2 linked regions of the Cricetulus griseus genome follow. Each later gene encodes a partner of the first gene's protein in a complex. Links are inferred from orthologs where the notes say so. Each region holds a gene or a part of one and is shown on either strand. Other genes may lie near its edges. The genes, in order: Bmp10 and Acvrl1.

Region 1 (4,253 bases):
ACAGCTTTCCCTTCGAAAACGACACACCCTCCTCTGTATTCTGTACCTTTGAGGACCTTCTTCTGATTCTTGGAAAGAAAGCCCTCCTGCATCGCTTCCCCTTCTCTACCTTGGGCCTCCCCCTCGAGACCTTGGCTCCTTTGAGTTCATCCCACTAGGGGTCACCTGTGCACTTGCTGTCTTGGAAACCCAAAGATGGGAGAGCAGGCTATTGCTCCTCCATGAGAGAAGTACAGAAAGAATGCTCTTTGGAATGGAGAAGCTTTGAGGGATCTTTACTAATTGGGGGGACCTCAGTGGATATTTACACTTGTAAACACTTAAATTATGCACATTAAATACATGCAGATTTCTATATATTAACTATACATCAATGAAGATGTGCTTTTAAAAAATAAGCTCATATTCAAGAGATTGAGACAGAAGGATTGTGAGTTTGAGACCAATCTGGGATTCATAGTAAAATATTGTATCAAAAGAAATTGTTTACAGTGTTTTAAATTTAAATGTGAATATTTCATGGCCAGCCTGGGCTACATGTGGTGAGTTCAAAGCCAGCTTAAAACAAAACAAAGCAGCACACACACACACACACACACACACACACACACACACACACACACACACACCAACCTTTAACTAAATAAAACCACATACAGTTCTTTGTATATGTGATAAGAGATCCATAGAAAAGTCACATTTTAGAGCAAGAGAATTAAGTCTGACAGATTTCACATGTCAATTGCTCTGCAAATTGTGTGACTGTCATAATGACGCCCACAATGCATACATGGATCTGATGCTAGTTCTGCACCAGAAGAAACCAAGCCTCCATGTATAGATCTGACTTCCTAGACAATACAGAGGATGGAACCAAGCTGAGAATTGAAGCCACGTTTTCCACCTTGCATGTGACACCCATTCAAAGATGAATTAGGTTTGGAGTACTCTTGGTCTTTGCCTCCTAGCTCATGTCACTGAGCAAACACAAAAGATGTATAGATGGATGACAACAGCCAACAGGGAGAGCCTGGTGAGGGGGACACATGTCCTCTGCTATATGAGTCTTCCTCTAGATTGTATAAGTGCAAGGGGGTGAATGGCTAGGTGTCCCCAAGTCTGATCTTCCCCCAGTAGTGGTAAGCTTGCTCACATTCTCACCTTTATCACCTGCTCTTCCATGTGAGGAGCACGAAATAAGAGTGGAATAATTCATTTCCACCAAGCCTGAGCTAGACCACATTCCCACTGTACCTGAGCTAGACCACATTCCCCTGTGCCTGAGCTAGACTGCATTCCCCCTGTGTCTGAGATAGACTGCATTCCCCCTGTGTCTGAGCTAGACTGAATTCTCCCTGTGTGTGAGCTAGACTGAATTCTCTCTGTGTGTGAGCTAGACCACATTCCCCCTGTGCCTGAGCTAGACCACATACCCCCTGTGTCTGAGCTAGACTGCATTCCCAACATGCCTAAGCTGGATCATGGCTCAGAGGAGGATGCTGAGACAGGCTCCTTCAGGAGGTTGCTCTTTCCCTCTTAGACTTGCCTTCAAAGGAATCTGAAATCTCTGCTTGCAGTTTCCACCAGAAATATGCTAGTAAATAGAAATGGTGGTGACCAGCTGAATTTTAAAAGCAAACACTATCTTGGTGTCTGAGGAATAACCATTCAGAGTTTACTCTAGCACCTAGAATATTAAGCAATTCATTAAAAGTCATCATGGTTTGCCCAGCACCTCCTAACAACAAGCCTTCTCTTGCCTCTAGCTGCTTGTGATTCACTTATCTGTGTCACAGAGTTTTACAGGGGGAAATTGGGGCTCCCATCCCTTAGTCACATCTTCCCAAGGCAGCTAGCTCTCAGCACTCCTGAGCTGTTTCATGATACCGCCTTCTGCTTCCAAGAGCATCTGGCAAACCTTGATCAAACCTCGTTTTTACTGGCCCAGTGTCTACGGAAGCACAATTGGTAAATAAACAATAAAGAGCCAGTTTCTCTATATCCACAGCCTCTATCATCAATATCATATTTTTTTCTACTAGTACCATATGAAGAAAGGGTTAGTTTGCTGACTCAATTAAAGATCTGAGGGGTAGGAATCTCAATTTGAAATTTGTACATCACTCTTCATAAAGTCACAGTCACAATAAGCTGGACTGTTAGCTGGGTCCTGTGCACTTCCTGGGGTCTTATCATGGCTCATTAAACACAAAGCAGCATTAGAAGAATCTTTCAAATGCAGTCCCCACTCTATCAGAACACTGCTTAAATAAAGTCACAATCGGAAACTCACCCAGAGTTTGGATGAAGCACAAACCCCACATTTCTAATTTCTTTTTATTGTTTTTACCATTTTTGATCTATGGAAAAGTTGGCAAATTGGCAAATTTTTATCAACCCCAGATAGAAATCAAGTTTTGTTTAGAAAGTAGCAGACAAGACAGAGCAACAGATCAACATTTATGGGTTTTTTTTTTTTTGATACTTAGTGTTCAGATTTTTTTGATACTTAGTGTCCACTATCAAGAACTGGTTCTTATGCTGGAATTTCTGGAATGAACCTTTTCTGATGCTGGAATGAACCATGGACATTTTGCGTTTTTTCGTTAATAGACATTTTATAGCGTTTTTGAAGTAGAACAGTTGATGTGCTGTGTCTGAGCCATGCATGTCCATGAGTTCATCCTCTCCCACGTGGATGTTTACTAATTGCTTCTTGAGAAAAAGCAAAGCCAAGGTTTCATAGGTGAAAACACAAGCCAGCTTACCTTCGTTCTTGAAGCTCCGGATGATGTTAGCAGATGGCATGGAGGTCCGGTCCGTGGCGAATTTGTTGTAGAGTTCTAGCATGTACTCTGGAGGATCCACTTTGGCTGTGTCCTGCTGGGGAATGTCGGACAGGTTCAACGTCTTGAGAAACTCATCCTTCATACTCTGTAGCAGTGTGTTGAAGTCCATACCGTCTTGCTCTGTGAAGATGTCGTCGAAGAAGGGCATGTCTTCTTCCAGGGGTGACTGCTCAAGGCCCATGATGGGGCTGCCTGAAACCGAGCAAGCCATCAGGCAGAAGACAGCGCTCAGCTGCAGGACCAGAGAACCCATGACTCTACTCAGCTCCCCAGCTCAACCTAGGAAGGTTTAACTCCTCTGGGCTCTAAGTGGCGGTTTTATCTTGTGGAGTGTAAATGTCTTATGTCACTGGACACGACACAAGTATGAAAACGCTTCCTCTTCTTCCCCTCCCCCTGCACTACTCCCCACCCCCCCGCCAAAAGTCAGGTTGCAGTAATTGGATAGCAAAATCCCCTATAGGGCCTAGCCTTTTCTTATCTCCCCAGTGTAAACTTGTACACCAGATTTCATTTTTATCTTGCAACCCCTTTTTCTTTTAATGAGCATTTTGTAAACACTTCCACATTCTGACACTGGTGAAGGATAAGACAATTTTCTCTTCACAAAGGCTCTGCTACTCTTTCTTTCACTTGACTTCCTTTTGGTAGGAATGTCTGGATTCTGGCCTTATGAGATTCAGTTTTGCACGTGTGTATGGCAGATATTAAGAGTCAACAGAATGCACTCAGTGGTGATGCATATTGATTCAAATGATAGGGATGTTCATATCTAAAGATGGACTAAATATCCAATGACTTCAAGTTAAGTAGATGTAAATGACTCAGAAACAAATTTTGAAGCATTTGCTTCTAGAAACAGGAAAGACTAAGAGTCACAGTCATTTTTCTACAGACTCGATCAGGCTGAAGTAAAGCCAGCACCAGATTATAATGAGGTTTGAGTGTAACATTGTGAGGAGCTTTGCAAAATCACATAATGTGTTTCATCTAATAACCCTGTTTTTATTCCTGTCATGTTCATGGGCTCCTGAGGTCATAATTGGTCAGAAGTCACCGAACTGTGCAGTTGTGAAGCCCCAGGTTGAGCCCAGGCTTTCTGATTACTGTGGAATAGAAACAGACCAACTTTGTAACCATGATTCCACTAGACCAGGAATTAGGAGTGATAGCAACTTGACTCTAGCCCAGCCTTGGATAGGCAGTAAGAAGGCAGGTAGCTAGGTGTCAATTTGGGTCCAGTGCTTGTGGTACCAGATATTTACATGGCCAAGATCTCTGTCAAGTTCACCTCCAAGACTAAGTCCAAAGCTCTATCAGCTTGCCCAACAGCATTACTAAACAGATAAAAAATGCCAAATATCTTGGTAAGGGGGTGGTGGGGCTGGTATAATTGATTGTGTG
Region 2 (3,814 bases), on another chromosome or scaffold:
TTTGGGTAACCCCTATACTGTTGCTTCACCCTCCACCCTGGGTCCCAGGTTGTTTCCAGGCCCATACCCCCAACATGCTGTCTCCCTGTTCCGATGCCTTCAGGATGAGGCTGGACTCGCCCAGGTCACTGTGCAGACCCCGCTGCTTCTCCTGCCTTCGCCGGACACGCCACAAGCCCAGAGCAGCCAAAGCCAACAGGACCAGCAAAGCCAGCACGATACCCAAGATCAGAAACAGCGGGGAAATCGTAGGTGGCTTCTCCGTAGGAGTCTGGGTGGCTGCAGGGAGGGGGACATTGAGTCCCAACTCCACCAGGCCAGCTCTCCTGACCCCGAGCCAGACCACTCTGACAGTTAGATCCCAGCATCCCGCCTCCCCACACCCTCTCTGTATGGGCCAGGGGGTGAAGAGAACGTGGGGCAGAGAAGACAGGGTCTGCAAAGATGGGGAAAATTAGAAGAGCCACTGGACCTACCCTCCAGCACCAGGGACACATTGTGGTTGCAGAAGGATCGATAGCAGCAGTGATGGTTATAAACCTCTGTGGGACGTCCCAAGCAGAGTTCCTGGTTCATGTTCCCGCAGCCCCGATAGACCTTGGGGTGCCCACCCTGCTCACGAACCAGCACCACTGTGCACCATGCCCCCTGGCAGGTTGACTTCTTGCAGTGTGGATTCTCACAAGTGCAGTTCACCAGCTGATCCCTGGAGGCCTTCACCCCGCCTCCTGGGAGATATATGAGAAATTCAGGCACTCTGAGGAGGCTATCCACTTCCTCCTACTGTCCCATCCCTTCTGATCTCACAGACAAAGCTCTCAAGCCTCCGTCCTTTAATTCCATGCCCTTACTGTCCTTCCCTCAGATCCTTATCCCTAACACGCAGGCAGTAGAGACTGGGAGAAGCCAGCTTTGGTCTACTGCCTGTGCTGGGACCTTCTCTCCCTGCTACAGGTCCTTCCCAGGTCCAGGGCTCTATGTGTTCACACACCTACTTCCTCCACCCAAGATGTAGGCGCTATCCTGCAAGGAATCTCAGCCTGCAAGTCAGTATCAAGGAGATAAAAGGTTGGATCAGCTAGGGAACTAGTCTATAGGAGCCTATGTCTACCATCCAGCCAGGCTCATGTTCTCACTTCCTCGGATCCAGCCCCAGCAGAAGCTGAGCTGAGCCTAGATAGCCTTCCTCCATTCAGGTCCCTGTTTCCACACTGCTCCTCCTGTACTCACCCTTGGTTAGGCCCAAGGCCACCAGCAGCATCAGAAGGCCCTTTCTGGGGATCTCTGAGGTCATGGTCCTTGGAGATAGGAGAAGAGATGCGGTGAGGTTTGCAAAATGTGACAGCTGTGGTGACCAAGGTCCCCTCCTACCAGGAGGAAATCACTGGGAGTTCTTTTGGGGGAGGCAGAGAAGCCACCTCCCCACTCCTACGTCAGGATTTAGGGTGGGGCCTGCAAGGGAAGTCCTGCTTCACTTCCCCATGGAAACCATCTGTTGGGGGTGAAGGGTGAAGAGCTGTGTTTAAATGATGAGAGCCAAAGGGGACCCCAGCTCTGTGCCCCACTGCTGGGTTCAGACAGAAGCAGGCTGGGGCGGGGGCTGCAGAAGGCACAGCTACAGTGGAAAGAACTTGTCTTTCCTAGCTCCCCTCTGTTCTCTGTCCTCTGCCATTTGCCAATCCCTCCGGCCTCCACCCCTGCCCACCCTTTCCCAGTGCCCCTCCACCTCCCATGCCTGGCTGCTTCAAACATAAACAGGCTCCTGTCTTCACTTCCTGCCATTCAGGGTCCCGCCAGGCCGGCAACAGGAATCAAGATTGTTTAGATTGAGGTCTGGATAGGACAGTCTGGAGTCACGCACAGCAGCAGGGAGCTGAGGGCAGGCTGGAAAAAGGACAGGGTCTAAAGGGCCTGCCTGAAGAGGGGACCTTAAAAACTATCAACCCCATCTCCAGTTTTATGTTTTTATTTTTTTTTTAAATTTCATTAGTTATTATTGTGTCTGTATTTAAGGGCCCGAGTGCCAAGGTACAAGTGTGTAGGTCAGAAGCCAAGTCTGTGGAGTTGGTTCCCTTCTTCTACCTTAACATGGGTTTTGGGAATCAAACTTAGGTCACCAAGCTCATGTGGCAAGCATCATTAGCTGTTTAGCCATCTCTTTGTCCCAGCTCTGGTTTTAGAGGAGGAAGTAAGGCTTATCCAGGGGAAAGACTGTCCAGGCTCCCTAAGAATCATCTAACAGTAACAGGAGTTAACACAGGAGTCTAGAACTCCCTCCCACACTGTTCCTTCTTCTCTGTGTCCTAAGCTAGTGGGTCAGCCCCTGTTTGCATCCTCAGGCTTGTAGCAGCCAGGCACAGCCTGAGAGTGCTGAGATGTCTCTCTGGCTTAGAGCCATCTGGGCCCCCTTCTCTCTTCTTGTCCTGGGAAAGGGTGGGGGGAGGGCCAGTGGCATAGGAAGTGAAACACACTTGGGCCCTGAATGTTTGACTTTGCAGAGTTGCCTCAGAAGTTTAGTGAACACTGGTAAGAGGAGTGATTATGGTATATGACAGTCAGGAACTCAGGACCCAAATCAACTAGGGCTTTAGGAGCTGCAGTAGTCTTCACTTCTCAAAGCCTCAGGACCAAAGGGTAGAGGGGCAGGTGTCAGACAGAAACACAGACTGTCTAAACGGTGGAGTGTACAGGCTGGATCCCCAGCTAGGGGAGCTAATACAAGGAGCATCCTGTGATGATAAGACATGAGAAGGGCTGGACATACATACATGTCCTGTAATGTGTCATGAGAAGTTCTGGACATACATGTCCTGTAATGTGTCATGAGAAGCTCTGGACATACATGTCCTGTAATGTGTCATGAGAAGCTCTGGACATACGTGTCCTGTTATGTGTCATGAGAAGTGCTGGACATACATGTCCTGTGATATGACAGGAGAAGGGCTGGACATACAGTCACATATAGACTACAGAGGTCCATGTTCTAATCTTGATACCAAACGTAGACCCAAGATGCTGAGGCTTTGGGAGCAGGATGTCTAGGGTCAGGCTGGGGGGCTTGGTGGGCCTTTCTGGCCAGTGACAGCCCTGGCCTTCCTGCCTGGGTTTCCTCTGCCCCAGAGGCCCGGCCTGGGGGAGGAAATAGAGACCTGGGCTGCTGCAGCTGTGTCCCAGCCTTTGGCTGACCCGCCTCTTGCCCCTGCTAGAAGCCAGTTAGGACTCTGGTAAGTACTCTACAGGGGTCCTGGAGATGAATGCAGAGGGCATGTCCCAAGGCCATGGGCAGGACTTCACTTGCTCAGAAAGTAGCTAAGGAGAGGCTACCAAATGCCCACCTCCCTAACTGCCTGTGTGTTCCCCTTGCCTCTCTACAGCATATCAGAACCTTATGCAGTGGGTTAGCTATGTAGATCATTTGGTCTATCACCAGTTTCAGGCTCCTATGCAGTCTGTCTGAGGCCAGCAAGAAACATGCTTTGGGCAGGGTACAGTGGTAATGTACCTATGATCTAGCACACTTCAAAGGCTGAGATTAGAGGATGGGGAATACCAGCCTCAGTTACATAATAAGACCATGACTCCAAAAATCAAGAAAGAAGGGGATTTAAAAAAAAAAAGAAAGAAACGCTGGGCGTTGGTGGCACACGCCTTTAATCCCAGCACTCAGGAGGCAGAGGCAGGCGGATCTCTGTGAGTTTGAGGCCTGCCTGGTCTCCAGAGCGAGTGCCAGGATAGGCTCCAAAGCTACACAGAGAAACCCTGTCTCGAAAAACCAATAAATAAATAAATAAACAAACAAATAAGGAAAGAAAGA

What was found.
Region 2: the proteins of Bmp10 (region 1) and Acvrl1 are in contact, whole or in part, in a crystal structure (PDB 6SF1), measured with the Homo sapiens proteins. The link is inferred for Cricetulus griseus from reciprocal best matches to the Homo sapiens genes BMP10 and ACVRL1. Residues at the interface, in NP_055297.1 of Homo sapiens: Tyr322, Asn357, Tyr358, Pro359, Ala361, Glu362, His363, Pro366, Thr367, Lys368, Ile371, Leu375, Leu378, Lys379, Ser381, Lys386; in NP_000011.2 of Homo sapiens: His40, Val54, Val56, Arg57, Glu58, Glu59, His66, Gly70, Asn71, Leu72, His73, Glu75, Leu76, Phe84, Val85, His87.

Annotation. Positions count from the first base shown.
Region 1 is NC_048601.1:55,891,100-55,895,352, forward strand, and holds the start of Bmp10 (bone morphogenetic protein 10), read right to left. Parts: upstream 3,103-4,253; coding exon 2,769-3,102; intron 1-2,768. UniProt on the Homo sapiens protein: Required for maintaining the proliferative activity of embryonic cardiomyocytes by preventing premature activation of the negative cell cycle regulator CDKN1C/p57KIP and maintaining the required expression levels of cardiogenic factors such as MEF2C and NKX2-5.
Region 2 is NC_048595.1:397,572,197-397,576,010, reverse strand, and holds part of Acvrl1 (serine/threonine-protein kinase receptor R3), read right to left. Parts: intron 1,299-3,814; 5' UTR 1,295-1,298; coding exon 1,231-1,294; intron 729-1,230; coding exon 477-728; intron 280-476; coding exon 68-279; intron 1-67. UniProt on the Homo sapiens protein: Type I receptor for TGF-beta family ligands BMP9/GDF2 and BMP10 and important regulator of normal blood vessel development. On ligand binding, forms a receptor complex consisting of two type II and two type I transmembrane serine/threonine kinases.